Coturnix japonica: one gene and its partners. Each later gene encodes a partner of the first gene's protein in a complex. Links are inferred from orthologs where the notes say so. Each region holds a gene or a part of one and is shown in the gene's direction. Other genes may lie near its edges. The genes, in order: transcription initiation factor TFIID subunit 4-like, TAF8, TAF5, TAF11, TAF12, TAF13 and TADA2B.

Region 1 (3,824 bases):
TCAGCCCAACAAATACAAAGCAATTATTGGATTTATATGTACCTCAACAATTAAAAGAATATTTTTAGATGAAGAAAATTTAATATAAAAGGTATTATTATTATTTTTTTTTTAAAGGCTTATTGCAGCATGTACTTGGTGCTTCTGGGTCAGTGAGCTGCAGGTGGTATCTGATGAGTTCGTGGTGTGAGTTTAGGGTGGCTGGTGGTCGCATTGTGTGTTTGCTGCTGCTCAGATCTGACAGAAGTGTTGCTGGGCAGGGGGAGAGATTCAGTGTGTAGGAGGATGAGAAAAAAGAGAAATATTTTTAAGACTGTTTAATTAAAATAAGCATCCAGGTGGTCGTTCCTTGGAAAGTTGGAATTAGTCACAACAGCCCTGGCTAAACAGAGTGGGATGAGAGGCAGCTTAAGGTGGGGCATTGTTCCAAACCTGTGGAAGGTGGAGAATGGAATGATGCTGTTCCATTTGGGAATGCAATGTGTTTTAGCATAAAGGCTGAATAAATTCAGAGCACTGCTAATAAATGGATTATGCACTGGGGAGATGTCTGGCTTCAGCATGGATGAGCAACCCTTGCAGCTGCAACACATGCTTTTCCTATGAGCGATGAGGCTGGGTGGTAAATCAATTAATCTGTTAGCAAAAGCTACTTCATACTAAAGACCAGAATCCCTAAGATCAAATGCTTGTGGTGCTCAAAGGTTGTGGGCTTTTCCTTCTCTTGCCTCCAAGCTTAGCAGCATTCATTTAACTACAGTAAGGCTATGTTAAAATAGGATTTGACCCACTATTGTAATTTAATAATCAGATATGAGGGAAATGTATCGAGCAGTATTGCTCTGCTGGTGAGCAGAAAAGCAATAGAGAAAAGTGTCACCTCCTCCTCACAATGTACCATACATGTATTCCCCATAACCTTTCAGTACTAAAGTCACGCTGAATCGTATTTGTAAGGGCTGAAATCGAGATCATGCAGAAGTATTTCCTGGGGAAAGAAAGGTAGGTTAAGAGCAGCAGTAAGTAGGCCTGGTATTTTAAAGGTATTAGAAACTTATTGGAAAGACCAGGATGAGTTATTCAGTGATTCAGGAGCTTCAAACCAACTTAAACAAAGTTTTATCATTGTTTTACATAGCAGTACAGTTATGTTTGTCTCCATCATCTTACAGTGTCTGAGTCTTTGTTGTGATTGCTCTCCATGATTTGTCCATCTCACCAGGATGGTTCAGTGTCACCAAACCTTTTTCTTCAGGACACCCAGAGGAGGGAATCTGGGCATGTGTGGGACCTGCAGCTTATGGCAGCAGCAATGTACTCACCCATACAGCACTCACCTTGTTCCAGCCTTAGATGCAGGATGTGGAGCACACATTTGATGTTCTAAAGGTTTCATCTACTGCATATAGTTCTGTCCCAGAAATGCTATTGACATTATACAGCCCTAATACATCTGTGGTTCATGTGACTGTAGCAGGAGAATTTTCAGTACCTTTGTCCTGTGCTGTAAACAAGTACTGTCTAGTTTTGTCCCATGTGCTTGTTCCCACTTGTTTCTGTACTCAATCTACTTGGTGAGACTCAGAAGTAGAAGCAAGTCTTACGTAATACATTCAGAGTGAGGCTCATAATACATGTGAGATATTTGAAATAATCCAGCAGGTGGTGGCTGGAGGAAACTCCTGACTGTTGCAGGACTTTGAACTCTGCTGTGTTTTCTTTGTAGGGCCTCAGTATTTCCGGTGGAGGTCAGGCTGGTTTGGGGACTCCTTCATCCAGGCAGTATGCACGACAGAAAATAACGCGAGTAAACCTCAGGGACTTCATCTTCTACATGGAACAGGAAAGAGAAACGAGCCGTTCTCTCCTGCTCTATCGAGCTCTGCTTAAGTAAAGCCAAGAATTGTACTGATTTCTCCATACAGAAGTTCAACTTGCATTGAAAAGCTGTCATTTTAATGTGCCTTCTATTTTTTTCAGAAGTCAATGTTCTGGTAATTTTGTTTTGTAAAACTGGCAGACACATGCAATAAATTCCCTTTATGTAAAAAAAAAGAAAAAAAAAAAAAAAGAAAAAAAAATGTGCAAAAGTTTTTAAAACGTTAAGTCTGCAGATGTAACCAACTCCAAAGGCTGACTGCATTTGGCCACATTAGATAAGGCTAACATGGATGGCATTGATTTACATAAATGCCTCAGCGGCTGCCATAGATTAGATGTCATGGGCAGGAGGACTGGGACCTGAACGGGGTTAATCTTTGTGTTCACCAGCGGTGCTGGTTTTCCTTTAGGGTTTGCTGTTTCCACTAACCATGGCAATACCTGTTAGATTGGATCTGATTGCAATTTTTTGCACAGCTAAAAGAATAACCAGTGCACGCTGTCACACATTTGATATATTTAGGACTTTTGCTTTTACAGCACAGTGCATTCCTTCAGCCGTTTGCTAAACCAAATCCTAAGTGTATGAAATCTGTGTGTTCGGGTCCCAACTGAGGTCCACCAAGCTTCCTGTTGCTTTCTGAATCTCTTCAACCTTTTGCACATTTGTAGCAGCTGGTTAGTAACATGAATCCTTTTATTTTCTAAAAATATCTTAATTTATTTATTGCACAGAGTATGGTTTAGTGGTGGTTATAAAAGAGAGTATTGTTTGGGAAAGATTTTAGAGTATCCTATATGGATTATTCGAGTAACTGTAAAGGAAGCTTTTGGGGTCCGGTTCCCTCTTGGCAGCCACAAGAGCCGGGTGTGCCCCGGGGGCTGGTGCTGCGGGGACCGGCGGTGCTTTGCCGTGGACGATTGGACCCGAGGACTCCAGTCCAGAGAGGCTCATGAACAAGTGCATGCCTTTAAGCATATGGGTAGGTGTAAGTTCTTATGGCGGGATGAATGCTTTTCAAACGCTTTGCTGAATTGGATTTTCCAGGGCCAACACCAAAGCCAAGCAAAGTTAGTGAGTCTTTTCAAATGGGAATTGGACAGGAATGCTCAGCAAGGAGGTGGGCACGAGTCGTGCTTGAGATGTGACAGTATTACCGGTGGCTGTGGAAGGGAGACATTTGCTTATTTATCTTTTCAATTTTACTACATTATGCTTGCCACTTTTTTGAGGCAATATTTTTTTGTTTTTAATGGGAAACCGTAGCGAAAGCACAAATAGAACTATTTGTCCAATAGTTTTAAAAACAAAAGTTTTAATTATTTTTTAAGGTTTATGAAAAGCAGAAGAAAATTTATACTGCTGCTATTTAGCCAAAAGATTATTCATAAGGTATTTAAGGCCAGGAAGTGTAAAATTATGTTTTAAATGTATTGATAATTTGTACATATTGTTTATAAAGGCCTTGTGTTTATTAGAATTACGTTATTTTGATGATTTCTGTACATACTCGTAAATACCCCCAATTTGTGTGAAAACATACTCCCTTATTTGTACTTATTTTGTAAAGAAATAAAACAATTTACTAAAGTAACACATCGAGTGACATAGCATTAATTTATCAAACATGAATTTCACATTGTCTGGTAGTTCTTAAGCACTGTTCAGAAACATTTTGCATTAAAATATTAACAGGATACCCACAAAGAAATATTAAAACCAAATACTTCGATGTTTTGTTGTGCTGATTCTTATCCTTTGTCAAATATCTAATAAAATTGTCAACAAACCTCGATGCTATTAATGCAGTGAATGAATGCACTCAACAGTTGCCTTTTCAAGGGCAATCGGTCCAATAAGCACAACATAACTTTCTTCCACTTCTTTTCAGACTTGGGAGCAGAGCAGTGCCATGGAGTTGAACAAAGAGGGCTGGCAAAGA
Region 2 (4,613 bases), on another chromosome or scaffold:
ACACGTGAGCTTCTTTCCTTTCTCAGTCTGAGACCGATCTGAAAGTTCTTCTTGTTGCAAAAGGAAGCGTTCCAATCTCTGGGAAAAAACCCCATGCTCAGGAAGGCGCACAGACTCCCACCATCCCACATCTCCTTGTTTTGCTGCCAGCTGACTGATTTCACAGCACTGCAGAGGAAGCTGGCACCATAAACTGGCAAACGTTTCCAGCAGCAACATCGATTCCCACTCCACATGGGCTCCAAAATAAGGATGTCACCCTCCACCTATGGACACGAACAGCCAGCATGGTTCTGCTCGCTTCCAGATTCCTTCCCTTCCACATCAGATCCCTGGCAACATCTTTCAGCACAGCCCTGAAGCTCTCCTTGTTTCACTTCACCCCTTTCCTCTTGGCTGGCCAGTCTCCTCCGGTGGCTGCGAGCAGCTGCTGCTTCACAGACACACAAGAAACCCCGACATCACTGAGCAGCCAGACCTTTATGGAAGCATTTCCCACTCCCACCCTGCCAGGCAAACGGAAGCCATGCATAACAGAATGATGTACCTGTGCCATAAAACAGGATGCAGCACCTGTGATTTTAGGGACTTCTGCACATATTTAGCTGAGGAAAATTCCACCAGGCTCTGGATTTTCAGTTTGTAACTGAGTTTAGAAGGGACTGCAGTGCTCTGGTTAGAACCCAAGGGCTCCAGCTGACACCACCACCAATGTTATGTTATGTACTGTAACATCAGCGGGTGCACTTTATCAGTTCTGAGAGCAGCTCACAAGGCATGGCAGTACTTATTGATGGGAAAAAACGTGCAGAGGAGCAAAGAGATTGTGTCTGGTTATTCAGCAGGCTGGATGCAGCCAGGACTGGAATCCAAAATAACACAGTGCTCTGCACCAATAACTAGAGCACCCAGCAGCCCTCACTGCAGGGCTTCCCCTGCTACCCCCTCCTCAGAGACACCCTGTGTACAAAGAAACAGCTTTGTTCTGAAGTGTATGATACTGTGGGATGGGGGAAAAGTATTCCCAAGAGTAAAACAAACAAACAAAAAACCCACAAAGCCAACGAAAACCAACCGGGCAGCACAGGGCTGGGATCTCATTTATCCAACAGCTCCCACGTGTGAATAAACCAAGTAATGCAGCCACCCAACATGAAGCCTGAGCCTGTTCTCAGCAGCTTCACTCGGCTGCTTTGAGCTCCCAGCTGCCACATCCCTCCATATAACGCACATCACTCCGCCCCACAATCAACCAGCAGGTCACAGCTCCACCACACACAGCGCTTCCATTCCCAGCTCCTTGTGCTCCCTCACACTCCGTTAATCACTGCCACCAATTCCAGCAGCCAGCACAGCACACACAGCCCCGAACACAGCGAGGGACCGACCCCGCCGGGCACAGCAGAGCTGGGTGCTGACACCGCCACAACAACGGCACCTTCACACACCGGCAGCTCAGGCCCAGGCCGTACTATGGCAGCAGCTCCCCGCTCCATCCACCCATTATGTGCCTCGTACCTTCACCATCCACCAGCTCCGCTGCCCGGTCCCGTCCCGCTCCTGGCTGTTGTTTACTCTCCACACGGCTCCGGCATCGCGGGGCGGGGCTGCAGGTTCTCGCAGCTCTCGGGGCATCGTGCAGCGCTGCCGGGCCGGGCCGCTGCCCCGCCATGGAGCCGCCGTTACCGGAGCTCATCGTCCCATCGTTGTTGTCCCATCGCCGTCCCATCGTTGTTGTCCCATTATCGTTGTCCCATCACCATCCCGTCGTTGTCCCGTCCCGGTCGCACCGCGGGGCTGTGGGGGATGTTGGAGCCGCCTACAGCCCCCACAGTGCAACGCGCGCCTCGCCGCACGGCCCCACCGCCCCGCACATGCGCACAGCGCTCTATGGCTCCAAGATGGCCGACACGGCGCCCGGCGGTTCCGGCACGGTAACGGCGGCTCCTCGTCGGGCCGCGGGGTCGTTGTGGGAACGGCCCCTCCGGGCGGAGCGGCGCGGCCTGCACCGGGAGCGGGACACTAACGGCTGCGGGCTGAGCGCGGCGGCTTTAAGGGGGAGCTGAACGGAGGGAGGCGCTGATTGGCTGCATGGCTGCGTGGGGGCGGGGCTTGGCGGCAAGCTGTGATTGGTCCGAGCTCTGATGCAGCGTTTAAAGGGACAGAGCGACTATGGGGGAACGTGTGTAAATATGGGGATATGAGTATGGACAGGCACTGCTTGTAGGGCGCTCCTAAGGTAAAGCCTCCTATTTATTCGCATGGAAGCTGCAGCAGGTACAGCACAATCATACTGTGTGATCAGGTGTTTGCACATCTGGAAAGCACTGCTGTTTAACACGGTCACCACCATTGCCCATATTGGCACTGGAGAAGAGCTGCATGCTGCACTCATACTGCTGGAGTGACCCACTGTTATCACTGGAACACGCCGCACTGTGCTCACAGCGGCTGCTCTGTCTCCAGAAGCATCTGCCCTCATCCAGGAACACAGTGATTCTGTGCTTCATTCACACTCCTTCATTACACACCGTTATGTCCAGCTGCTGCCACCTGTCACACAGCAATGTAATGTACACAATGTAATGTACACAATGTAATGTACACAATGTAATGTACACAATGCTGGCAGGAAGGTTCAGCCTTTACCCCGCCTCCAACATCTAACCCTGATGTCGACATCATGAAATAGGAGGCATTACTTTCAGAGCAGTCCTCATGTGTGTATGTCTGTACATGTGTGTCTGTGTAGGTGGGTCTGTACTGTGTGTAGGTAGGTGCTGTGTATGTACACCCGTGATGTGTGCAGGGACAATGTGTGAGCACAGAGCGAGTGCTGGCAGCTCGTCTGGGGCTCAGGTTCAGTGTTTTGGGGTCTGTGTCCACAGCGGTCGGGCAGCAAGCACACGACCACGCCAGCAGATAACTACTACCTGGCCCGAAGGAGGACACTGCAGGTGGTGGTCAGCTCCTTGCTCACTGAAGCCGGCTTTGAGAGCGCTGAGAAGGCTGCGGTGGAAACACTGACAGAGATGTTACAGAGCTGTGAGTGTCGGGTGCCACCAGATTTAGGGCAAAATCACCTTGAAATCGGTTCACATTTGCTTTCGCTCTTTCTGTTTTTCGTTTGTTTGTTTGGTTTTGTTTTAACTCTTTAACTCCCGGTGCTTTCCATGATGTTATGATGTGCAATAACAATAACAAAAATCATAAAACCATGACACTAGATTTGATCAAAAGTCAGGTGTTGTGCTGACACAAATGTGTGTTTGCTGCCTGAAATGAACATGGAATGTGAATAAAATAAAATGAACATGTAATGGTTGTTGGTGGTTTTTTCCCCTCCAGATATTTCTGAAATTGGAAGGAGTGCAAAGTCCTACTGTGAGCATACAGCCCGAACACAGCCCACGCTGTCTGACATAGTTGTTACTTTAGTGGAGATGGGTGAGTAGCTGACTCATCTCACTCATTCCACATACATACAGTGGGTGTTCTGTGTTGCCATGACAGTCTGTTCCTGGTGTAGTTGTGTGATGTCGGCTGTTCTGGGTTGCACACAGAGGCTCCAGTATCACTGCTGTTGATGTAGTGTGTATGCACACAGAGTACATTATTTTCTTTCTTCTTGGTGTGATTCCATTTTTCTCTTCTTCTGTATTTCAGGGTTCAATGTTGAAACACTTCCTGCATATGCAAAGCGCTCCCAGAGGATGGTGATCACTGCCCGTATGTGAGAAGTCCTTTTCTTGTGCAGGAAACCATTTGTCTTTTCTATCTGCTGGCATCCAGAGAGCTGCTGCTTTTCTCATGGATGGTGTAGTCCATTGCTCCGGGGCACTCAGTTTGTGTTAAAGATTCCTGTAATTATGATGTAGTAGGTGAAGGAGAGTGTCTGTCCTTTGCCAAACCTGTTGCTTTTGCTTCAGTATCCTCATTGCACATGAGAATCCTCAAGGTGGTTCTCCTTGTGTAGGAGGGGTCATGTAAGCCTTGTTCCCTTTTGGGATGCCAAATACAACCTGAAACTGTTGCTTGTGTCATATGCTCATGTAGTGCATGTGCTTTTTTAACCATAGCTCCTGTGACAAATCAGCCCGTGACTCCCAAAGCCCTGACAGCTGGACAGAACAAGCCACATCCATCCCACATCCCTGGCTATTTCCCTGAGTTTCCAGATCCTCACACCTACATCAAGACACCAGTGAGTGAAAAAAGACTTTTGTGCCATTTGGTTTCTGTCTGAAGTCAGTAATGTTAGGAAAGGTGCATGTGCATTCTTATTGTAGTGCTGTTCCTGAACATTGTTTCTGCTACCTTGGCACAATGCTTGTCATTTGCATATTGTACTTGCTCTAGTTTTATAGCTGATATCTGTAGCTGTTTGAAAACGTGCACATGTTGAAGGTCAGTGCTTGCCTGCATCCTATTAGTGTTTTGAACTTGATCTGTCTTCACTGAATCTAGTGACTGTACTTGTTTTGTCATCCCTGCTCTACAGACGTACCGAGAGCCAGTGTCCGATTATCAAGTCCTACGGGAAAAGGCAGCATCTCAGAGGCGTGACGTGGAAAGAGCTCTCACCCGCTTCATGGCTAAGACAGGAGAAACAC
Region 3 (3,824 bases), on another chromosome or scaffold:
CACGTGTTAAATTGTTTCAATAGATTTCATGGGGATCAGGAATGTTATTACCAAGATGACCTCCGTGTATTATCCAGCTTAACCAAAAAAGAACACATGAAAGGTAATGAGACCATGCTGGATTTCCGAACAAGCAAGTTCGTTCTGCGTATTTCCCGTGACTCTTACCAGCTCTTGAAGAGGCATCTTCAGGAAAAGCAGAACAACCAGATCTGGAACATTGTTCAGGAACATCTCTACATTGATATATTTGATGGAATGCCCCGTAGCAAACAACAGATAGATGCTATGGTTGGAAGCTTGGCTGGGGAGGCAAAACGAGAGGCAAATAAAGCAAAGGTAGGAGGAAAAGGATGTTGCTCTTTATTATTGAATGCTTTGAGAGTAGTTTTTCAGGAAGTACTATATTTGTTTATATGTATATAATCATACTATATATGATTATTGCTACTTGATATCTTAAAAGACAACATGAACTAAATAAAGGTTCTGTACAAATAGATGTTATCAGTAGTAGAGAAATGAAAATGTGTCACTGACTGGTGGAAGGAACTGTGAGAGACAATGCTATATTCTGTTTGCTGAACTAGATTTAAACTCATGATTTTGTTGTCTAGTTTTAACATTGACCCATTTCGCTTCCTCTCTAGTACAGCAGCAATAGTTCTCACTTCCAGTTATTATTGCAAAGGCTGTTGGGTAGATCTCAATAGCGCAGTACCGCAATGCTACACAAATAAATTATGGAAGTTGTAGGGATTTTGCTTCAGGGAAGAACTAAGAGGTGGTGGGAGAACTCACAGTTGTCCAGGTCAATTGTTGGCTAAAACAGTAGAACGTGTCTTACACTTGTGCCAGGCTAATCAGTAATGAATGCAGTAATGTTCAACTTAGTAGAACTATCCCTTTCCGACTAATGTTTGGAGTCTGATGAAAAATCAGTTTTCAGTAAGAGCAAAAATTACCATTATGTCATACATCTTTTATTGGCTTGCAGGTTTTCTTCGGCTTATTGAAAGAACCAGAGTTCGATGTGCCTTTGGATGATGAAGATGAAGAAGGAGAAAACGAGGAAGGAAAACCAAAGAAGAAGAAACCTAAAAGAGACAGTGTAGGATCAAAAAGTAAAAAACAAGACCCTAATGCTCCTCCTCAAAACAGGTACCAAGGGAGGATGTGTAGGGAACTTCTATTAAATCCAGTATTACCATGTTAAATGTGCAGTGCTGGTCACATGATGTTTTTAGCTCTTTGTCCATTTCAGCCGTAGACAGCTTTAGTTGTAAGATTTCAAGGGGGATAATGCAAACCTTAGCATGTAGCCTTCTGTCTTTGCCCTTCACATCAATCTAGATTTCCCTTGATTTTAGTTGCTTACTGTCTCATCTTTTCAAGCCATACTTAATTAGTTACCTTGTTTCACTACTTGTCTGGATTTCATAAAGCTATTGCTTCTTTTTCTCATCAATCTTTTACACAGTATTTCATTCTTCTGAATTTATTTTGATATTTGAATATTGAGGTGTAGGGTTGCATGGGAAGGTTCAGCTTTCTCTGTTTAAATTGACAATATGGAAAGTTCATAAAAATGTGTGCTTCTAGAATTCCTCTGCCCGAACTGAAAGACTCAGATAAACTGGATAAAGTGATGAACATGAAGGAAGCTGCCAGACGTGTGCGTCTTGGGCCAGAGTGTCTGCCTTCCATCTGCTTCTACACATTCCTTAATGCTTATCAGGTTGGTAAAAAAAAAAGACTTTGGGCAACATGAAAGAGGGAGTCAAAATGATAAACTTCACTCTTAATAAAGAAAGAAGACTGAAGAGTTAATGTTGGTTATCAGAGTATTTGGAACGTTCAAAATTTTATTTATAGACTTCATTAAACTAATTTCCAAGTTCCTTGGGTTTGCTCTGATTTTACCTTAATTCTTTCTTTCACTTTTCCTATGTGACCCTACTCTACAGAATACAGTAGATAGTTTGCACCAAAATACTGGGAAGCAGTTCTGCTCTGTCATCATTAACTACGCCTCATTTATATATCTTTCTTTTTCGTGGTGCAAGAATGTGTGTGTTTATTTCAAGCAAGTGTTTGTCCAAACTATTCTATTTTTATCAAATGAGCATAGTTAATTCTCTTTTTAGTGTTTAGGGTTTGGTAGTGTTTGAAATACACTGTGAAAAATACAAACAACATCAATGGCTATTTTGTCTATAGGGTCTAACTGCAGTAGATATTACAGATGACTCCAGCATGATTGTAGGAGGCTTTGCTGACTCTACCGTCAGAGTGTGGTCCGTGACTCCAAAAAAGCTACGTAGTGTGAAGGCAGCAGCAGGTAATTAAGTAAAAAAAATGTAATGTGAGTGTGTGTTGTTTGTGTTATGTGTGTTTTGTGTGAACAGAAGAATATGTCTATTGGGAGAGTTGTTTTGAGCAGCTGCATCTTGTTACTTTGAAGAAACATTGAGCACGGCTGTATAATTGTGTCTTGTAACTACAAATAGAAATACATATCTTTAAGGGAATGAGGTATCTGGTTGTGTACACCTACTGCTGGGCAGCCTACAAACGAGTGAACTGTTCTTAGTCATTGTGCTGAATCAAAAAGTGCTTGTGGTGTTCAGCAAATAGTAGCCTACAGATTGAAAGCTGTTTTAAGTTGTGTGTAGTGGGAAGCTGTCAGAACATCTGCAAAGTGTGTTTGTGCCGTATTAACTTCCTGGGAAAAGGCATGGAAATTTGTCATCTCAAGAAGTGTGTCCTGAGGCTAAAAAATAAACCCCTCAGGATTTTATCTTTTATGAGGTTTTATCTGTTATGAAGACTTGTTAAAGAGTGGTTATTTACATAAAGCATTATTGCCACCTTTTACAATGGTAGAAGTATTTTAAGTGCCATTGTTTATATTTCACCATTACCTATTTCAAGGTGTTTTTGTTTATGAGTTTTTTTATTGCTTTTGGGGAAAATGCTATTTGTTTTCATGGCATTTGATGAACCTCTGACAGTTGTCATGATGTGTGAACTTTTGAAATCTTGCAGACCTCAGTCTAATTGACAAAGAATCAGACGATGTCTTGGAGAGGATCATGGATGAGAAAACTGCAAGTGAGTTGAAGATTTTATACGGTCACAGTGGACCTGTCTATGGCACCAGCTTCAGTCCTGATAGGTAAAATAAAGTTTACAAGCTAATTAGTTCGCTTGTGTTGAATCTTAATAGTGTGCTATGAATGTGAACGTGTTTATAATGCGGCTTTTACCAGAAGATCAAAGTAACTCTTGTATCTTCTTTAAAATAAGAGATTTGAAAACATTATGTAAGCTACACAAGAGACAACCATCACAGAAATACAGCTGAGAAGTAAGCTTTGTGTGGAACATGATTATAGAATCTATATACAGCCTATAGTCTATATAGAGAGTCTATTCATAATTTGTTAATAATTAAGAAAAAGATTTCATACCGAGTTCACATTCAGGGAATCTTACCATATAGTTTAGAGTTGCATTAAGATTATTCTAAAGTAATATAGTGTAGCAATCTACTGCTTTTTCCCCCCGCATGTGAATGTAATTCTTAAGTGAAGACTAGTTCTTTTTTGCAGCCCCTCTGTATTGCTGTGTCATCAGAATTAATCATCAACATTCAAATGTCTCTTATGCTTGACAACCAAGGGTTCAGTTCTTCCCGAACAGTTTATTGTTGTTTACTTCAGTAAAATGCTGATTTTAATGGGAAATACTAAATAGTAGCTGCCCAGTGGAGAGTTCTATGTATCATAGAATTGTTACAGAGCTTATGCAATGACTACACA
Region 4 (4,255 bases), on another chromosome or scaffold:
TTCTCCATTTACAGTACAGATACATTCATATCCCACTGGGCTCCATCCCACACCATGCCATGGGAGCTCGGACAGCCCCTGTCCCACAGCCCTCCCACCCATACATTCCACCCAAGCACAGATTCCAACCCACAGCATCCCCTGTACCACAATCCCTTCCTCACCCCAAGCACACCAACAGCCAGTCTCAGAAGCCCCAAAATCCCAGCTCATCATTACAAACCCACTATCCCCACACATCTTGTGTCCTCAACAACGCACCCCTATCAACCCCACAACCCCTACACCCACACCTCACCTCAAGCAGCACAGTCCAAGTCTCCCAGCACCCCAACTTCAAGTCCACACACCTTCAATCCTTCTCCACAGCCCTACAGCACCCCAACCCCATGCACCCCACAGCTCCTATAAATCAATGCTCACCTTGAGAGCCTACAAACTTCACACACTGCATCCCCCACAGCCCTACTCTCCCCTCAGCTTTCACCCACAGCTCCCAGCCCCAAACTACCCCCTGTGGGGGGCTCCTACCCCACAGCCCTCACCCCACAACCTTCCCCATCCTCCTCACCCCACAGCCTCAGCCCTGTACCCACCTCTAACCACAGCTCCCCAGCTCCATGGGCCCACCCCTCATAGCCCCCATCCCCCTCATTGCCCCCCACTCACCTCAGCAGACTGGACAGCGGGTGTCCCACTCCTCCACCTCCTCCTCCACCTCCTCCACCGCCGCTTCCACCACCTCCACCGCCCCCGGATCCTCCTCCGCTCCCTCCTCCGCTTCCCCCGGAGCCGAACCCTGAGCTCAGCCGTTTTCCCGACAGCAGTTTCTCCACAGCGGGCAGGTTCCCGGTTCGTGCGGCCTCCAGCAGCTCCTGCTCCTTCCCCATGGCCCGGCCCGGCCAACGCCGCCGCCTCCCGCCAGGCCCCGCCCCGGAAGAACGCTGAGGGGGCGTGGCCTGAGGCCGAGTGGGCGGGGCCTGAGGGGCCGTTTGTTCTCTATTGTGGGCGCGGCCTAATAAGTGGGCCTGGTCTGCTGTAGGCCCCGCCCCTGGTGGATCTATATTCTCATCCCATTTCTCTTCATTATCAAATGGAACTGATACAAAATGACGCGTAGAGCCCGTCAGCACGGCTATAGATGGGGTGGATCCCACCCTGCTGTGCCGGGTCCACACGCAGCTCACAGCTCTGTAGGCCGCACGGCGCTCAGCCCCGTCGCCATAACGACAGCAGCGCCCCCTGTCGGCCACCGTAGCGTGACGTCATCACCAGGCGACCGTAGAGACGAGGCGTAATGGCGGATCCCGGTGAGCCGGGCCGGGAGGAGCGGGGGGGCGGCACCGAGCGGGAACCGGCACCGACCGCTACATCACCACACGGCGGGGATGGGACCATGGAGGAACCGACGGCCACGGACGGGGTTATAGAGGGGGACATGGAGGCTGGAGCCGGCCAGGAGCTCAAGGCGGAGGCGGCGGATGGGGAGGTGAGGGCTCAGCACCGGGTCGGCCGGGAGATGAGGAGAGAACGGGGCCGGTCCATAACGGTGTGTTGTATCGTAGGGGAGGAGCGGGGACGGGATGGACGGGGAGGATCCGAACCTGCAACAGGCGGCAAAGAAGGTGAAGGTGGAACTGAAGGAGAGGAAGGAGAAGAAGCACAAAGTGGACGAGGATGAGATCCAGAAGATGCAGTGAGTGCTGGGGAATGGGCTGCGCTGCAGGGCGGGGTTAATGGCCATGAGCAGCATCAGCATCGTTTGTGGTTCAGCTCTGTGAGTGATTCGTCCTCTCCCTTCCAGGATCCTGGTCTCCTCCTTTTCCGAGGAGCAGCTGAATCGCTACGAGATGTATCGCCGCTCTGCCTTCCCCAAGGCTGCCATCAAACGGGTACGACTTCAGTTCGTGCTTCAGCACAAAGCAAACGGCTCAGCCTGGCCACAATACCCCCCCCCCAACCTCCCCTCCCCAACATGGCTGTGGGGGGACAGCGATGCAAAATAATTGCTAGCACTGATCTGTAGCTGAATCAAACTAATCTCAAATTGTTACAGCTACCATGTGCCCAAAGCTATAGGAGCTCATTCCAAAGCTCTGTTACTGTTGTTTCTGCTCATTTTGTTCACTGGTGCTCAGTATTTGGCTCCAATCACTAAATATAATTTGAAGTGTTTCAGTGTTGCTGCATGTACCTCATTTGACTGACTGCCTGTTCTTTGCTTGTGCAGCTGATCCAGTCCATCACGGGCACCTCTGTCTCTCAGAATGTGGTTATTGCCATGTCTGGCATTTCCAAGGTCTTCGTTGGGGAAGTGGTGGAGGAAGGTGAGCAAATCACATTATTGTTCAGTAAAAAGTTAAGGACACAGAGAGCACATCGCTTAAAGCAGAGAGACATGAAACAAAGCTGGACTTTTGTGGCTTCTTGTCCAGGTGTGCAGCCTGGACAGTGCCCTGCAGGGCCCTCCTGCTTTCAGCAGCAGCAGAAGACAACTGTTAAAACTTGGGACTTCTTGCCCCTACATGAGCAGGCTGCAGTGCTACAGCAAAGATCTCATTAATGCTACTGTGGACAAATTCAGCTTAGAAGGGAAATGCGTTATTTAAGCCTCTTAGCCTGCAAGATTCTTTGTTAATGCAGTGAGCTGAGATCTCCTTGGGATAGACTGTGCAGCGCTGACCCAGTTGTGTCCCTGCTCATGCAGAGGAGGAAAAGATTCTTGTTTTTTGTGCCAGCCACTTAGTACAGGCTTGTCACACAAAACACACAGCCTGGACTTGCAGGGGTTGCCATCAGCCAGGATGATGCAGCTTTTGGCACTTCTGCTGCTTTGACTGTGTCTGCAGCTCTGTGTTGCCAGAGGCAGTCTGGATAAGCAGCTTCTCTGCTGTACTTATTGCTTCGTGTCCTTGGCAGGAGATCTGAATTATACTTAACAGAAGTGAAGCACAGGAACTGCCCTTTAAGTCAGCTGTAGGTGGTTCCTTCCTCCTATCCCTGCTGCACACAAGTCCCCAAACATACTTCACAAGCTAGAAGTGGTTTTAAAGTAGCAGGTTTAAGATGATGAGGCCTTTTCAAGCTCTTGCATGACTTAGTCTATTCCATAGCAGCTGGGACGTGGTTACAAAGCAGCTGATTCTGAGCTGGTATTGATGCCTCAAGGACTAGTTTTTCTTCAGAGAAACACCCAAAGCTGTTTCATCCCTTTGTACAGATAAAACATGAGCTTTGAACACTGTTACCTGTTGACTTTATAATTGAAGTTCAACCAGTGGGAGGCTTTTCAAATGTCTCCTGCTGGGAGAATGGCAGAGCTGAGCTGTCCTTGTTCACGTCAACTCTTGTCCTTTGTTTAGCACTGGATGTGTGTGAGAAGTGGGGGGAGCTGCCACCTCTGCAGCCCAAACACATGCGGGAGGCTGTGAGGAGGCTCAAGTCACGAGGACAGATCCCGAATTCCAAATATAAAAAGATCATCTTCCACTGAAGTGTCCTGGGATCAGCAAAGAGAAGACAAGTTCAAACAAGCTTTGGTTGTGCACCATATGACAGTTATGAGACAGAAGCATTCCCCTCTCCCGCTTGCAGTCTTCTCCAAGGAAGCTGTACCAAAGCAAGCTCAATTCAACGTGGATTTCAGTAACTTCAAGCATCGAGGTCTTATGTGGATTGCTTTCAGTTTACAAAACTACCATGAGTGTTCTCAGCACGGCTCATGGGGCAGAAGGACAGGGAGAAATGCTGCAGCAGAACCTGCAGTTGCTCCCATTAAACTCCCTGCCAGCAGCAGCACATTGTGTGCAGACATTCATGTAGGCATCCACGGGGATGTTTCCTGCAGTAACTGCTGAAGGCCAGTTTGTCAGCTTAGTGCTGTGCAGGCTCAAGGAGGAGGCAGATCCTTGGCCTGGTGCCTCAGGGTCCTCAGATCCAGCAGCCTGGGAAAGGAACATGCAACGTCCTCAAGTGTATTTACCCACCAGCATCGTCCCTTCTGCTGGCACAGGTGCAGTGTTGTCTCTGTACAGAAGCATCTTTTTTTTTTGTACATTAAACTTGTTACTATATTCTTAGTCTCCCTGGGACAGCAAATACTCATTGTGTAATTGTGTTTGTGTGATTCAAAGTAGGGAGAGCGCGCTGCGATCTGTCTCAACCAACCCCAACATGTCCAAGGAGCTTCACGCCTCCGGCATGTATTGCTCCATTACCACCAGCAAGGGAACACACTGAAAACTGATGTTTCTTA
Region 5 (2,881 bases), on another chromosome or scaffold:
CTTTAGAGCAATGGGAATGCTTCCTTTGTGTCCTGAACACAAAATTAGTCGCTGGAACGTTGCTTTAAAGATTTCTCACTATGTCTTTGTCCTCTCTTGCCGTCAGCCCCGCTTCAGACAGGGGCATTTTAGTGCTGGTTTAGCACAGGAGAATTAGTCCTCTTAACCTGCTGCGCTCTGCTCACTCTGCTTTCTGTTCAGAGCAGCCAGTAGTGCTTGAAAATGACTCCTTAGCACCTGATGTCTCTTATCTGCCCTTCCTGGGCTGATACCACGTGTCAACACGTGTGACTTGTGTCTCTGCTTTGTAAGGGAGGAGGTCTTTTGTGGCTGTGCAGGGTGGGCAGTGATTTGCTAAAGCATCGCAGTGAACGGTTCCAATTTTCTCTCTCACTTACTCAGGTTTTAACCAAGAAGAAATTGCAGGACCTGGTGCGTGAGGTGGATCCAAACGAACAGCTCGATGAAGACGTGGAGGAGGTAGATACCAACCCATGGCAGGGGCTGCAGAAAGAGCAGCTCTGGGGTTTCTCACAGCCCAGTGACCCTTTGCCCAAAGCAGGGAGGGCTGGTTTATATTACACTGCCTTATTCTCACGTTCATTGCAGCCTTCAGCCATCCATGTCTCTGCTTCCCAGTGTTCAGAAAGGCTTCAGGGAAGCAAAAACACCCTTGAAACATTATCTTCGGAGGGTTCATTTTCATACATTCTCATAGTTTCAGCTGTTGGGTGCTGCTGAGACCTCTTTTTGTCCTCGTTCTGTGGCAGATGCTGTTGCAGATTGCTGATGATTTCATAGAGAGCGTGGTGACAGCTGCCTGCCAGCTCGCACGGCATCGCAAGTCAAACACCCTGGAAGTGAAAGATGTCCAGTTGCACCTTGGTAAGGAGCTTTTGCCCTCACCTGAGAGGTGGGTGCACAGCCCACTGCTGGGGTGACAACCCATGAGAAGACTCACTGCTCTCACCATAAAGGAATGAGGGGATAATCTGCCCCTAAACCCATCGTCTCCAGGTGGGTTCAGTGCTCTGGCACGTGCTCTCTCTCTTCCAGAGCGTCAGTGGAACATGTGGATCCCGGGCTTTGGTTCTGAAGAAATCAGGCCCTACAAAAAAGCCTGCACTACAGAAGCTCACAAACAGGTAAGGAGCCCTTAGGAACGTGCTGAGAATTGCATGGTAGAAGCCTTATGTAGGTAATGTGCCCTTGGACTCCTGGTGAATCCGTAACCTCTTCTGAGTGGAATTGCAGGTCTCAGCTCCCTACCACCATAAGGTTTAAGAGCATGCAGTTGTCTGTGATTTCAGCTGTGACTGCAGCTGGTTTTTTTTCCCCCCTTAATTTTGTTTTAACTGCATCAGGCAATTGCTTTTGAAGCATAAGGCAGGAGGTTCCCTGCAGGAGCTGTTGGAGTGCATGGGTGTTATTGCAGCTCCTCCTGAAGCTCAGATGGGCTTCAGTCCCTCCCCTGGTGCTGCTGCTCTCCTTTATCACGCAGCCTTTACAGCCTGGGGGGCAAATTGGGGCAGCGCAGACGTTTCCTTTTCCTCCAAGACTCTGAGATTCAAATGAAGTTGACAGACCTGTGTGGAAACAAGCCGGGCAGTGCCCTGAGAGAACCCGAGATGGGTTGTTCTGCACATCTGCTGTTCAGGTTGCATTGCAATGATCCGAGACTCAGCTTCCCACCTTCTTCTCCTTGCAGAGAATGGCACTGATCCGTAAAACCACCAAGAAGTAGAAGTGGGAGAAGAGCTCGGAGCTGCCAGCGGTGCATTTTGGGATCTCTGCCTCTCACTGCAGCCTCTGCGACGCCACCCATGGGATATTATTTGTTCGTGCTTTACAGAGAAGCATCTATTTTTTATTGACGGTGCAGCAATATCTGAGTCGATGAGGAGATCTGCCAAAACCATCCTGTTCCTTGTTCTCCCCCTTAAGAGCGCAGCGTATCTCAAAGCAAAGACTTTTATTTGTGACTTGAAAGTGGTTTATCATATAAGTGATTATCTGAGGGACAGAGCATTTGATTGTGTGTATGTGTGTGTGTGTGGGACAGTATTAGAAGCAGCTGTAGAGGTTTTTGTTTCCTCCTTCATACCCCTCCCTGCTCCCGTACTTTGTAATGTCAGTGTTTATATAAAAATACTTGCGTTTGTTTTACATGAATAAAGAAATTATTCATCTAAAACCAGGGGAAAGAGGCAGCTGTGGGGTGAGCCTGGTGTCTGTGCGTGAGATCTGTGCTGGACTTTGATGGTCTCTGCTCTGTGCTCACTGCATCAGGACCTGCTGTGGCTCAGCCCGTTTGGATGCAGGCAGGAGGGTTGTGTTGGCCAAGGGTAAGAAATGAGTGTGTTCTGTTTCCCTGGGGCATGAAGAAGGCTCACAGCCCAGCATCTGCTCTGCCCACACTATATGCATCAGAGATACTACAGCTGCTGTGGGATGCAGTGGGGAGGGAGGGCAGCTCTGCGGGCTCCCTGCAAAGAAAGGGAGGTTGTGGATGCTGCTGCCTCAGTGCAGAGCTCACTGCTGGGGCTCGGGCTACCGGCACCCGTGGGTGAAACCCACTTTGTTGGTAGGTGAGGGCTCTGTCCGTGCACTAAGTGCAGCTGGGGCAGGTCTGACCGGTGCTCGGGAGGGAGAGGCGGCTCCTGGGGCGCAGAGCTGCCGTCTGTTCCCAGGGTGCTGCCCAAAGCGTGGCCTGGTGCTGCAGGGCACCGAGCTGAGGGAGCTCCCTGCTGGAGAGTAAACAGGTTTTGGGACCCGACAGCACATGGAGGGGCTGCGTGCTGTGCTCGCTGTCTGGGAACCGCTTTGTAAGAGGGGGGGATGAGGAGGAATGGGGCCGTGGCACCTCCCCTGTCCCGGGAAA
Region 6 (4,594 bases), on another chromosome or scaffold:
GGCTAAAGTAATGTTTGTAAAGGCGAGCTTTTTGTTTAATAAACTTCTTAATCACTGTGAATGAATCCTGGGTACTACACAAAACCTATGTGTTTGTGTCAAGGGAGGGAAAAGAAATAATCAGAGAACCTCCAGAGAGAAGCCAGGTACTTGCTTTGTTGAGTTGAATGACACCTAGCAGTTTAAATGAGCGTATGGGCACCCTGCCTGCTCTAAGGCTGTCCAGAGTGAAAACAGTCAATGCTTTGTTTGCAAAAAGCTTTTTGGAAACTTGTATTTTTTTCACTATTGTAACTCCTCTGCATTGTGCATTCCGTAGGTTCAGCGTGATAGCATGGCATGCCTTGCTTGTCTACATCTGGTTGTCCCTGTTACGGGCAGATGTGGAAAAGGAAACCTACTTTATGGGATCTGCCTCCTGGTTGGCTGTTGGCTTGAAACAGTGGTGATGAATGAACAACACCTAGCAGAACTCTCTCCTCCTGCACTTGATCATCACTCAGTGTTGCATGAACCTTCTGTTTTAAATCCCACGTGAGTTCTGCAGCTGCGCTCAGCTCAGTTACCAGAGATGGGTCCATTACCTACATCTGTCCTGCCCTGGGAGCTGAAGCACAACACAGAGGTCCTGCAGCCACTGTACCTGGCTAAGGTCAAAGGGAAACCACATCTGGTACAGAATGTACAAAAAGGACTGCCATTAAATAGCAGTAGTTGTACACAGCAATTTAGACCAAAGCTAATAAAGTGCCTGTGTCACACTCTGGCACACATCTTGTCCTGTCTTAAGACTGCCAATTCTGCGTATACAGTTGCTGAGGTTAACTTACATTAAATGTTTATATCTCAAGGAAAAGTGATTCTTTCATAACCCACTCTGAGGCTTGAAGGTGGTGTTTCTACTGTTTGTTACGTTAAGGAATGTCCTGTAACTCTCAGATTAGGCTTGAAGTTTGTTTCCAGCAGATATGTAGGAAGTGGCAGGATGAAGAAACCAGCAGGGAGATGTGGATCTCCAGTTTCTACATGTAAGCAGAGATCAAGCATGTCATGCTACCGTTTTGCTTCTAATCCCAAAATGCACCAAAGCAAACTGGCCTGTGAGTGTCTGATTCTAGAAATAAATACAGTAGGATCTAGAGAGGTGGAAAACACTCAAGTCAATGTTTTGGGAATAATTGTGTGTTTGTATCTTAAAACCAGTGTCTTTCAAAAGCATCAGTGTAGTCCAAGCTGTTATCTTCAAGGCCTCAGTTTGTTATGTGCAAGATTTGGAAGCTCTGTGACAGATGTGGCAATAAATAAAATCGAATTAAGCAAGTGCTCCATAGATTCTTCTTGACTCTGCTGTCCAGTAAAGTTTTGTTTCTCCAGTGCCTGTACCTCAGCTGCACCTTTTTCTTCCTCTCCTTCGTCTTCCTAAGGAAAAAATCTTTTGAATAGCCTAAGTTCCCAAGGCATTTCTCACACTAGATGAGTGAGGGGTGGGAAACAGCCTGGGTGCTATAGACACGGCACAACAAGATGGCGGCCCCCAGGGGAGGCGGGAACGGGAAACCGGAAGCGGTAGCGGGCTGTGGCGGCCATGGCGGACGAGGAGGAGGACGCGCCGGTGAGCGGCGGGGATGGGTTGTTTGCGTTCAGCCTCGGGGCGGGAGGGAGCTCCCCGTTTAACGGCTTCCTTCCTCCGCTTTGTTCCTTCAGTTCGAGGAGGACTCCGAGGAAGCCGGCGGCGGTTTGGACGGCGGGCAGGGCAAGAGGAAGAGGCTTTTCTCTAAAGAACGTGAGTCCAGGTTGGGGGGGGAGCTCAGGGTGGGAGCGTTACTGATGCATTGAGCAGATGGAGGCCTCACGCTGTGTGTATTCCCGCAGTAAGATGCATGATGTACGGATTTGGAGATGACCAGAACCCTTACACGGAATCTGTGGATATTCTTGAGGACCTGGTGATAGAATTTATCACTGAAATGGTAAGTCAGTGGTGTGCCAAACACGGGTCTGTTAGCCTTGAGAAAAGAAGACTGAGAGGGGATCTGATCAATGTCTGTGAATATCTAAGGTGTGGGAGGCAAAGGGATGAGGCCAGACTCTTTTCAGCGGCATGTGGCAATATGACAAGGGGAAATGGCCACAAACTGGAGCATGGAGCCACACAAATGTGTGCAGGAGCTTCTACATGGAGAGGGTGACGGAGCACTGGAACAGGCTGCCCAGAGTGATTATGGAGTCTCTTTCCCTGGAGCTGTTCAAGACCCACTCGGACTCCTACCTGTGCAACCTGGTGTAGGGAGCATGCTTTGGCTCCCTCTGCTTCAATGAAATTCCTTCAGCATTATCCCAGGCAAAAACTCGTGTGCTGCTGGGAAGAAATCTAAACTCAGATATAAGAGGTTGGATGTTAGGGGGAAGTTCTTCACTAGGAGAGTGGTTAGGCCCTGGAACAGGCTGCCCAGGGAGCTTGTGGATGCCCCGTCCTTGGAGGTGTTCAAGGCCAGGTTGGATGGGGCCCTGGGCAACCTGATCTAGTAAAGGTGTATGTTTGGTGGCCCTGCCAGGCAGGCGGGTTGGAACTACATGATCCTTGAGGTCTCTTCCAACCCGGGTCATTCTGTGATTCTGTGATTGCCCTTCCGATATTAAGATAGAATTAACACATTTTACTCCACATGGATTTAGGGCAACGTTCGGAGGCTTTAAGTAACAGTTAGGGGAAAAAATCCATAGCTGACTTTGAGGCACCCAGTGGCATCGCTGTGTGTTCTGCTGACAGATGGCTCAGCTTTGAAATGTTATGTGCTTCTTGTGTTCTCTCAGTGCCTTTACACAGATGGAAATGCCACACCATAAAATAAATGCAGCCATCTGGGCCCTAAAGCCACTGCTGATCCAGACATTTGGATACAACTTGAGCACTTATGTTAAAAAAAAAGAATAAGAAAAGTGGTATTGTTTGTGGATCCCTTCTCATGAGAAGTTAGCCTTGCCTATTCTCAATAGAAAAAAACTGTCCTCTGATGCAGGTATTGCATACTGCATGCAGATTCTGCTTGATGCTGTTGCTCCTCAAGCACTTTGCAGATCAGGTGTCCCCTCCCCAGTCTGCCTTCAGTTCCAAAGACATTCCTGTTGTGTGTGCAGTGGTACCCAGTGTATATGAGGTACTGCACTTGGATGGCAATGCCCAGATCCTGCACTTGCTGCCTTCTAGACTGTTTAAAATGTCAGTAAATACAGTAGGATTGAGATCTGAAAACAAAACTAAAAGGGGCAGAGGAACACTGATGTTTCTCTCTTGCAGACACACAAAGCCATGTCAATTGGACGGCAGGGCCGTGTACAGGTTGAGGACATTGTCTTCCTAATCCGCAAGGACCCCCGGAAGTTTGCCAGAGTTAAAGACCTTCTGACTATGAATGAAGAACTGAAACGTGCCAGAAAGGCCTTTGATGAAGCAAACTATGGATCTTGATTCTGTGTACAGGCTTGACTGGAGCGTGCTGTGGGCTCCTGTTGCTCAAGAGGAAGAAATGTCATGTGTGTTGCTTTGAGGGGTTATTTGAGCTGGAGATCATTGCTGCTATCTGCTCTGCCTCTCAGCCTCTTGTGGTAGGCATTCAAACAGCTAGATGTTAACTGATTACACATGGCGCTCCTAACGTGTTTTTATACCATTATGGGAATTTGAGAAATGAGCTCTAAAGATATTTTAAAGGTGAGAAGTCTGCAGTAGGACAGCTGAATTGGGAATCTACAAGGCCCATGACAAGCTCTTCTCTACTTTGGTTATGTCGAGGTATTTTGTTGACAGGAAACCTGGAAAATAGATGTTGGTTAACTGGACAAAGTTGTCAAGCCCAAACTATTACAAATTCTGCTCTGTACATAAACTTGAATAAAGCAACTCGAGTCTGTGCCCACTCTTCGTAACTACACGTACACTGATCAGTTAACGCAGGGCACATAAAAATTGTTGGCTATTGTAGCATCTCATGAGCTCTAAGTGCTGTTTCTGTCCTAGTAGACACAGCTCTCCTGTTTTTACTGTACACTTAGAGAACTGAAATTAACCTGTTCCAGATTTAGTTGCACTCAGATCCTTGCCTTGCCCCTGTTGGGCAGATGCTCCACTATAAAACTGATCTGACTTAATTCAAAGAACTTTTTTCACAAGATTAGGATCACCGGGTAATTACAAATAAGAGCTCGATGGAAAGCACTAAGCTTGTGAAATAATGTTAGAGCAAGGAATAAGTATGTGCTGGAATAGCTACACATTGCCAAGCAGGCAAAAACTGCACACTTGAAAAGACTTCAGGACACTGGGGGACTTGTTCACAGATAAGTTTACTCTTGCGGGCTCCAACTGTGCTTTGCCCTGTTTCCAAAGCAGCAGGATTTGGTTAACACCTTTTCAGGACAGGAGAGAAAAGGCACTGAGTAGGAAGTAACTCCAAGCTGCTGTCCCTGGACAAGGCTGGGTAAAAAGGATACAGATTACTCATCTGTTTTGAACACTGTTCCATAAAAAAGAACAACAAAAATGTTTACAAAAATAAGATCATTACTCCTTTGTTAATAGAACTCAGTGTATGAG
Region 7 (4,350 bases), on another chromosome or scaffold:
GCAGCTTCCAGCTCTCTGCCTCCCGCTCCCTCCGCCCCCAAAGCTCCCGCAGCTCCCGCAGCCGCTCCGCGAACAGCTGCTGCCCGCCCGCCTCGTCCGCCCGCCGCTCGCTCCGCTGCGGCCTCAGCAGCTCCGCCAGCAGCAGCTGCAGGCGGCTCTCGGTCTGGTGCAGCCGCTGCCGCTCGGACTCCAGCTCGCGGTACTCGGCCAGCAGCTCGTCGCGCTCCCTTTCCTCCTCCTCCTCGGCTTCGTCGCGGCACTCGGCCTCCTCCGCTTCGCCTTCGGGCTGCGGGGGCTCCGCAGGCTCCGTCGGGCCCTCGGGCTCCTCGCTGTCCTCGCTCAGCGCGTCGCGTTCGCTCTCGGAGACTTCGCCATCCCCGGGCTGCTCAGCCGGGGGCTCCTCCAATACCGAGGGCTCCTCCAATACCGGGGGCTCCTCCAATACCGAGGGCTCCTCCAATACCGGGGGCTCCTCCAATACCGGGGGCTCCTCCAATACCGGGGGCTCACTCAATACCGGGGGCTCCTCCGGCGTCGACGCCGGAGGCTCCTCGGCCGGGGGTTGCTCCAATGCCGGGGGCTCCTCGGCCGGGGGTTGCTCCAATGCCGGGGGCTCCTCGGCCGGGGGTTGCTCCCAGATAGCCGGGGCTCCTCGGGCCCCGGGTTGCTCCAATCCGGGGCTCCTCGGCCGGGGGTTTGCTCCTCAAAATGCCGGGGGCTTTCTCGGCCGGGGGTTTTGCCCAAGCCGGGGGCCTTCCTTCGGCCCGGGGGTCTTGCCTCCCAATGCGGAGGCTGCCTCCGGCCGGGGTTGCTCCCAATGGCCGGGGGCTCCTCGGCCGGGGGTTGCTCCAATGCCGGGGGCTCCTCGGCCGGGGGCTCCTCCGTTGCCGGGTTCTGGCCGTTCCCGTCCATGTCTCCTCCCGTTCGCTTCCCCCGTTGCCCGGGTGACTGCTCTGCTCTGTCCCGGCCCCGCCCCTTTCCCCGCCCTCTCTCCCCGGCCACCACTGAGCGGCAGGTTCGCCCGGGGTCACGTCTCCGATTGGTCGCCCGAAAGGCGGCAGGGCTCCGCTCGGCCAATCGCAGCCTCTCGTTCACACGAATCCCCCCCGCCAACGGGCGTTTCGCCCCCATTGGCCGCGATCCGGAGGGGCAGCCCGAGCTCTCGTCACCCATTGGCCGCCCGGCGCGAGGCTCCTCCCGGCGGGAGCGCCGCCATTGGCCGCGTGTGAGCGGGGGCGGGGCCGCGCGTGCGCGCGGGGAGGCGGCGGGCGGGGTAAGATGGCGGAACTGGGGAAGAAGTACTGCGTGTACTGCCTGGCCGAGGTGAGCTCACTGCGCTTCCGCTGCACTGAGTGCGCAGACATCGAGCTCTGCCCCGACTGCTTCTCGGCCGGAGCCGAGATCGGCCCGCACCGCCGATGGCACGGCTACCAGCTGGTGGACGGCGGCAGATTCACCTTATGGGGCGCCGAGGCGGAGGGTGGATGGAGCAGCCGGGAGGAGCAGCTGCTGCTGGACGCCATCGAGCAGTTCGGGTTCGGAAACTGGGTAAGGAGAGTAAGGGCTGTAAGGGTGCGGGGCATCGAGCTGCTCCGAGCTCGGCTGGTCTCTATGTGCCTGTCCTGTGTAGCGCTGCGCTCTGGGTACAGGATTTCTTCCTAACATCCCCAACTTCAGTATCCCTGCTTTCAGCTTGAAGCCGTGCCCCTTTTCTTTATTTATTTCTCTATTACTTTCTTTATTTCTCTGTTGCTCCAAAAGTAATGCTGTAAAACAGAACTCTGGCAGGTGACACATTGAGCTCAGGGACTCAGGAGCCATCGTGGTGTCTTGTGAATCAGTTTTTGAGGGGCAGGGAAGAAGGAGCGAGTGCTGTGCTGGAGGTATAACGGGAACCTTCTTATTGCCCCTCCTTGTTTTCCATTTAGGAAGACATGGCCGCTCACGTGGGAGCATCCCGGACACCCCAGGAGGTGATGGAGCACTACGTGAGCATGTACATCCACGGCAACCTGGGCAAGGCCTGCATCCCCGACACCATCCCCAACAGGGTGACGGACCACACGTGTCCCAGCGGGGGGCCTCTCTCCCCCAGCCTGACCACGCCGCTCCCGCCCTTGGACATCTCGGTGGCTGAGCAGCAGCAGTTGGGCTACATGCCGCTACGGGACGACTACGAGATCGAATACGACCAGGATGCTGAGACACTGATCAGCGGCCTGTCAGTGAACTACGACGATGATGACGTGGAGATAGAATTGAAAAGAGCTCACGTAGACATGTACGTAAGAAAACTCAAGGAGAGGCAACGGCGGAAGAACATTGCGAGAGATTATAACTTGGTGCCGGCCTTCCTGGGGAAGGATAAGAAAGACAAGGAGAAAACTCCCAAACGAAAGATCACGAAAGAAGAGAAGGAGTTGAGGCTGAAACTGAGGCCTCTGTACCAGTTCATGTCCTGTAAGGAGTTTGAAGACTTCTTTGAGAACATGCACAAGGAAAGGGTGCTGCGAGCAAAGATCCGGGAGCTGCAGCGGTACCGGCGGAATGGGATCACCAAAATGGAAGAGTCGGCGGAATACGAGGCAGCCAGACATAAACGGGAGAAGAGGAAGGAGAACAAAAACATTGCCAGCTCCAAGAGGGGGAAGGAGGACGGCAAAGAAGGGGAATTTGCTGCCATTGAAAACCTGCCTGGTTTCGAACTCTTATCGGACAGGGAAAAAGTGCTTTGCAGCTCTCTGAATTTGAGTCCTGCGCGTTACGTGACTGTAAAAACCATCATCATTAAAGACCATCTTCAGAAAAGACAAGGGATTCCTTCCAAGAGCCGCCTCCCCAGTTACCTGGATAAGGTACTGAAGAAAAGGATTTTAAACTTTCTAACAGAGAGCGGTTGGATATCCAGAGACGTGTCATGAGGCCCATCCATCTGAGCCACCGCATCAGAGACCTGACAAGTTCCCTTCCTTTTCCTGCCCTCGCTGGAGATACAGAAATTATCTCATTCAAAACAGACAAACAAAAACAAAAGAAGCAAAAACAACCCCCCCCCCCCCCCGCGGTGCTTGTGGGCTGAGCTCCCAGCACACTTTTGCTTTGGGTCATGAAAAACCCTGAATTGTGAAACTTCTCCATTCGGTTGCATTACTCGTTAGAGTACACTGTTGTTACATTACTCAAAGAGATTGCTTTCATGTGAGCCTACTCAAGTCCGATGGTTCTGGGGTGATCACTTCACTCCTTACTGTTGGATCAATGTCAATGTCAGCCATAATCTTTGCCTTTTATTTTCCTTTTCTTTTTGTTTTCGGAGGTGAGAGCTGGTTTTCAGCAGCTGAGTTCTTCTTCTCCCTGATGTTTTTTGTCACAGTGATGGCAGCCAAGCAGAGCTTGCAGAAATCCTGAGCTGTCAGATGTGGGGTGCAGGGATTGGTGTGGCCGTTGCTGAGCTTTTGGAGCGCTGCCATTAGCACAGCCCAGGTGTCAGGATGTGGGGTGAGAGCTTCCGTGGGGTGCAGCGCTGGTGAGCTGTGATGGGGGTTGGTAGATGAGGTGCCTGCAGGTATTTGTGCTGTGTGTGAAGGCTTCTTGGAGAGCTGCCTGACCCAAGTGTAAGCTTGGCTGGGCAGCTGTGTGCTCTGCACTGGGCTCAGCACTGCAGTGAAGTGTTTGGTTCTGGCCAGCTGTGGCTTAGAGCGGGCAGAATGCTGCCCTGGCAACCTCAGGTGGTGAAATAACCTCTTCCTTTTGCAAGGAGAACCTGCTCTTCCTCTCCTGTTTGTTGTGCCCAGCATGTGTAGCCTGAGCTCTTGCAGCTGCCTCCTGAGAGCTGCTGGGAGGGATGGGGACAGGGAGCTCCGTTCTGAAGCTCATAGCGGCCACTGAGATTGGTTTGTACAAACTAAAAAGGAAAGTATATAGATGACAACGCACAGCTCTGTGCTCCTGGAGTGCAGAGCGGTGGATGCAGCCGTCGCAGCTTTCTGGCTGCATGTACCTCCAAACCTTCTGGACTAAATGTGCCGAAGTTTCCGCTGTGGTTGGCAGAATGGATCTCGGTTTGCCGCAGTGGCCACTTTGGTGTTGTTGTGTTGTCAGAGCTCTCTGAGGGCTGCGCTCCCTGCCACACAGGGCTGGAGTTACAGAGCAGCAGAACACAATAGAAACACCTCACCCACCCCACTGTATTAGTAGTATATACCGGTTAAGGGAAAGGTGTTCAAGGAGGAGCAGAGGCGGCCTTTCTTTATCGTCATTTCATTCTTAGATTCCTGTGCTGGCATCCAGCCACGTGAAATTAATAAAGGAGAGTGGATTCTGTGTGACAGACATCAGTGTTATCACACC

What was found.
Region 2: transcription initiation factor TFIID subunit 4-like (region 1) and TAF8 share a complex: the UniProt entries of both Homo sapiens proteins name them as parts of the TFIID basal transcription factor complex. The link is inferred for Coturnix japonica from reciprocal best matches to the Homo sapiens genes TAF4 and TAF8.
Region 3: transcription initiation factor TFIID subunit 4-like (region 1) and TAF5 share a complex: the UniProt entries of both Homo sapiens proteins name them as parts of the TFIID basal transcription factor complex. The link is inferred for Coturnix japonica from reciprocal best matches to the Homo sapiens genes TAF4 and TAF5.
Region 4: transcription initiation factor TFIID subunit 4-like (region 1) and TAF11 share a complex: the UniProt entries of both Homo sapiens proteins name them as parts of the TFIID basal transcription factor complex. The link is inferred for Coturnix japonica from reciprocal best matches to the Homo sapiens genes TAF4 and TAF11.
Region 5: the proteins of transcription initiation factor TFIID subunit 4-like (region 1) and TAF12 are in contact, whole or in part, in a crystal structure (PDB 1H3O), measured with the Homo sapiens proteins. The link is inferred for Coturnix japonica from reciprocal best matches to the Homo sapiens genes TAF4 and TAF12. Residues at the interface, in NP_003176.2 of Homo sapiens: Phe872, Leu873, Leu874, Pro877, Leu878, Arg880, Arg881, Ile882, Ile885, Gly886, His889, Gly890, Ile891, Thr892, Glu893, Leu894, His895, Asp897, Val898, Tyr901, Val902, His904, Ala905, Thr906, Gln907, Gln908, Arg909, Leu910, Gln911, Leu913; in NP_001128690.1 of Homo sapiens: Val57, Leu58, Thr59, Lys62, Leu63, Leu66, Val67, Glu69, Val70, Glu74, Met83, Leu84, Ile87, Ala88, Asp89, Phe91, Ile92, Glu93, Val96, Thr97, Cys100, Ala103, Arg104, Ser108, Ser109, Thr110, Leu111, Glu112, Val113, Lys114.
Region 6: transcription initiation factor TFIID subunit 4-like (region 1) and TAF13 share a complex: the UniProt entries of both Homo sapiens proteins name them as parts of the TFIID basal transcription factor complex. The link is inferred for Coturnix japonica from reciprocal best matches to the Homo sapiens genes TAF4 and TAF13.
Region 7: transcription initiation factor TFIID subunit 4-like (region 1) and TADA2B share a complex: the UniProt entries of both Homo sapiens proteins name them as parts of the TFTC-HAT complex. The link is inferred for Coturnix japonica from reciprocal best matches to the Homo sapiens genes TAF4 and TADA2B.

Annotation. Positions count from the first base shown.
Region 1 is NC_029526.1:9,324,287-9,328,110, reverse strand, and holds the end of transcription initiation factor TFIID subunit 4-like, read left to right. Parts: intron 1-1,726; coding exon 1,727-1,894; 3' UTR 1,895-3,476; downstream 3,477-3,824. UniProt on the Homo sapiens protein: The TFIID basal transcription factor complex plays a major role in the initiation of RNA polymerase II (Pol II)-dependent transcription.
Region 2 is NC_029541.1:4,766,432-4,771,044, forward strand, and holds the start of TAF8 (transcription initiation factor TFIID subunit 8), read left to right. Parts: upstream 1-1,646; 5' UTR 1,647-1,670; coding exon 1,671-1,934; intron 1,935-2,888; coding exon 2,889-3,045; intron 3,046-3,348; coding exon 3,349-3,447; intron 3,448-3,666; coding exon 3,667-3,729; intron 3,730-4,079; coding exon 4,080-4,204; intron 4,205-4,501; coding exon 4,502-4,613. UniProt on the Homo sapiens protein: The TFIID basal transcription factor complex plays a major role in the initiation of RNA polymerase II (Pol II)-dependent transcription.
Region 3 is NC_029521.1:20,666,264-20,670,087, forward strand, and holds part of TAF5 (transcription initiation factor TFIID subunit 5), read left to right. Parts: intron 1-23; coding exon 24-339; intron 340-997; coding exon 998-1,161; intron 1,162-1,602; coding exon 1,603-1,738; intron 1,739-2,220; coding exon 2,221-2,341; intron 2,342-3,048; coding exon 3,049-3,178; intron 3,179-3,824. UniProt on the Homo sapiens protein: The TFIID basal transcription factor complex plays a major role in the initiation of RNA polymerase II (Pol II)-dependent transcription.
Region 4 is NC_029541.1:4,152,928-4,157,182, forward strand, and holds TAF11 (transcription initiation factor TFIID subunit 11), read left to right. Parts: upstream 1-1,184; 5' UTR 1,185-1,297; coding exon 1,298-1,489; intron 1,490-1,565; coding exon 1,566-1,696; intron 1,697-1,804; coding exon 1,805-1,892; intron 1,893-2,230; coding exon 2,231-2,327; intron 2,328-3,362; coding exon 3,363-3,493; 3' UTR 3,494-4,100; downstream 4,101-4,255. Other genes in the region: ANKS1A (ankyrin repeat and SAM domain-containing protein 1A), read right to left, coding at 670-890. UniProt on the Homo sapiens protein: The TFIID basal transcription factor complex plays a major role in the initiation of RNA polymerase II (Pol II)-dependent transcription.
Region 5 is NC_029538.1:2,033,308-2,036,188, forward strand, and holds the end of TAF12 (transcription initiation factor TFIID subunit 12), read left to right. Parts: intron 1-402; coding exon 403-480; intron 481-770; coding exon 771-885; intron 886-1,056; coding exon 1,057-1,145; intron 1,146-1,708; coding exon 1,709-1,744; 3' UTR 1,745-2,194; downstream 2,195-2,881. UniProt on the Homo sapiens protein: The TFIID basal transcription factor complex plays a major role in the initiation of RNA polymerase II (Pol II)-dependent transcription.
Region 6 is NC_029516.1:74,708,714-74,713,307, reverse strand, and holds TAF13 (transcription initiation factor TFIID subunit 13), read left to right. Parts: upstream 1-1,479; 5' UTR 1,480-1,585; coding exon 1,586-1,612; intron 1,613-1,704; coding exon 1,705-1,783; intron 1,784-1,872; coding exon 1,873-1,970; intron 1,971-3,298; coding exon 3,299-3,469; 3' UTR 3,470-3,917; downstream 3,918-4,594. UniProt on the Homo sapiens protein: The TFIID basal transcription factor complex plays a major role in the initiation of RNA polymerase II (Pol II)-dependent transcription.
Region 7 is NC_029519.1:72,523,712-72,528,061, forward strand, and holds the start of TADA2B (transcriptional adapter 2-beta), read left to right. Parts: upstream 1-1,231; 5' UTR 1,232-1,278; coding exon 1,279-1,548; intron 1,549-1,928; coding exon 1,929-2,921; 3' UTR 2,922-4,350. Other genes in the region: CCDC96 (coiled-coil domain-containing protein 96), read right to left, coding at 1-667, 778-1,173. UniProt on the Homo sapiens protein: Coactivates PAX5-dependent transcription together with either SMARCA4 or GCN5L2.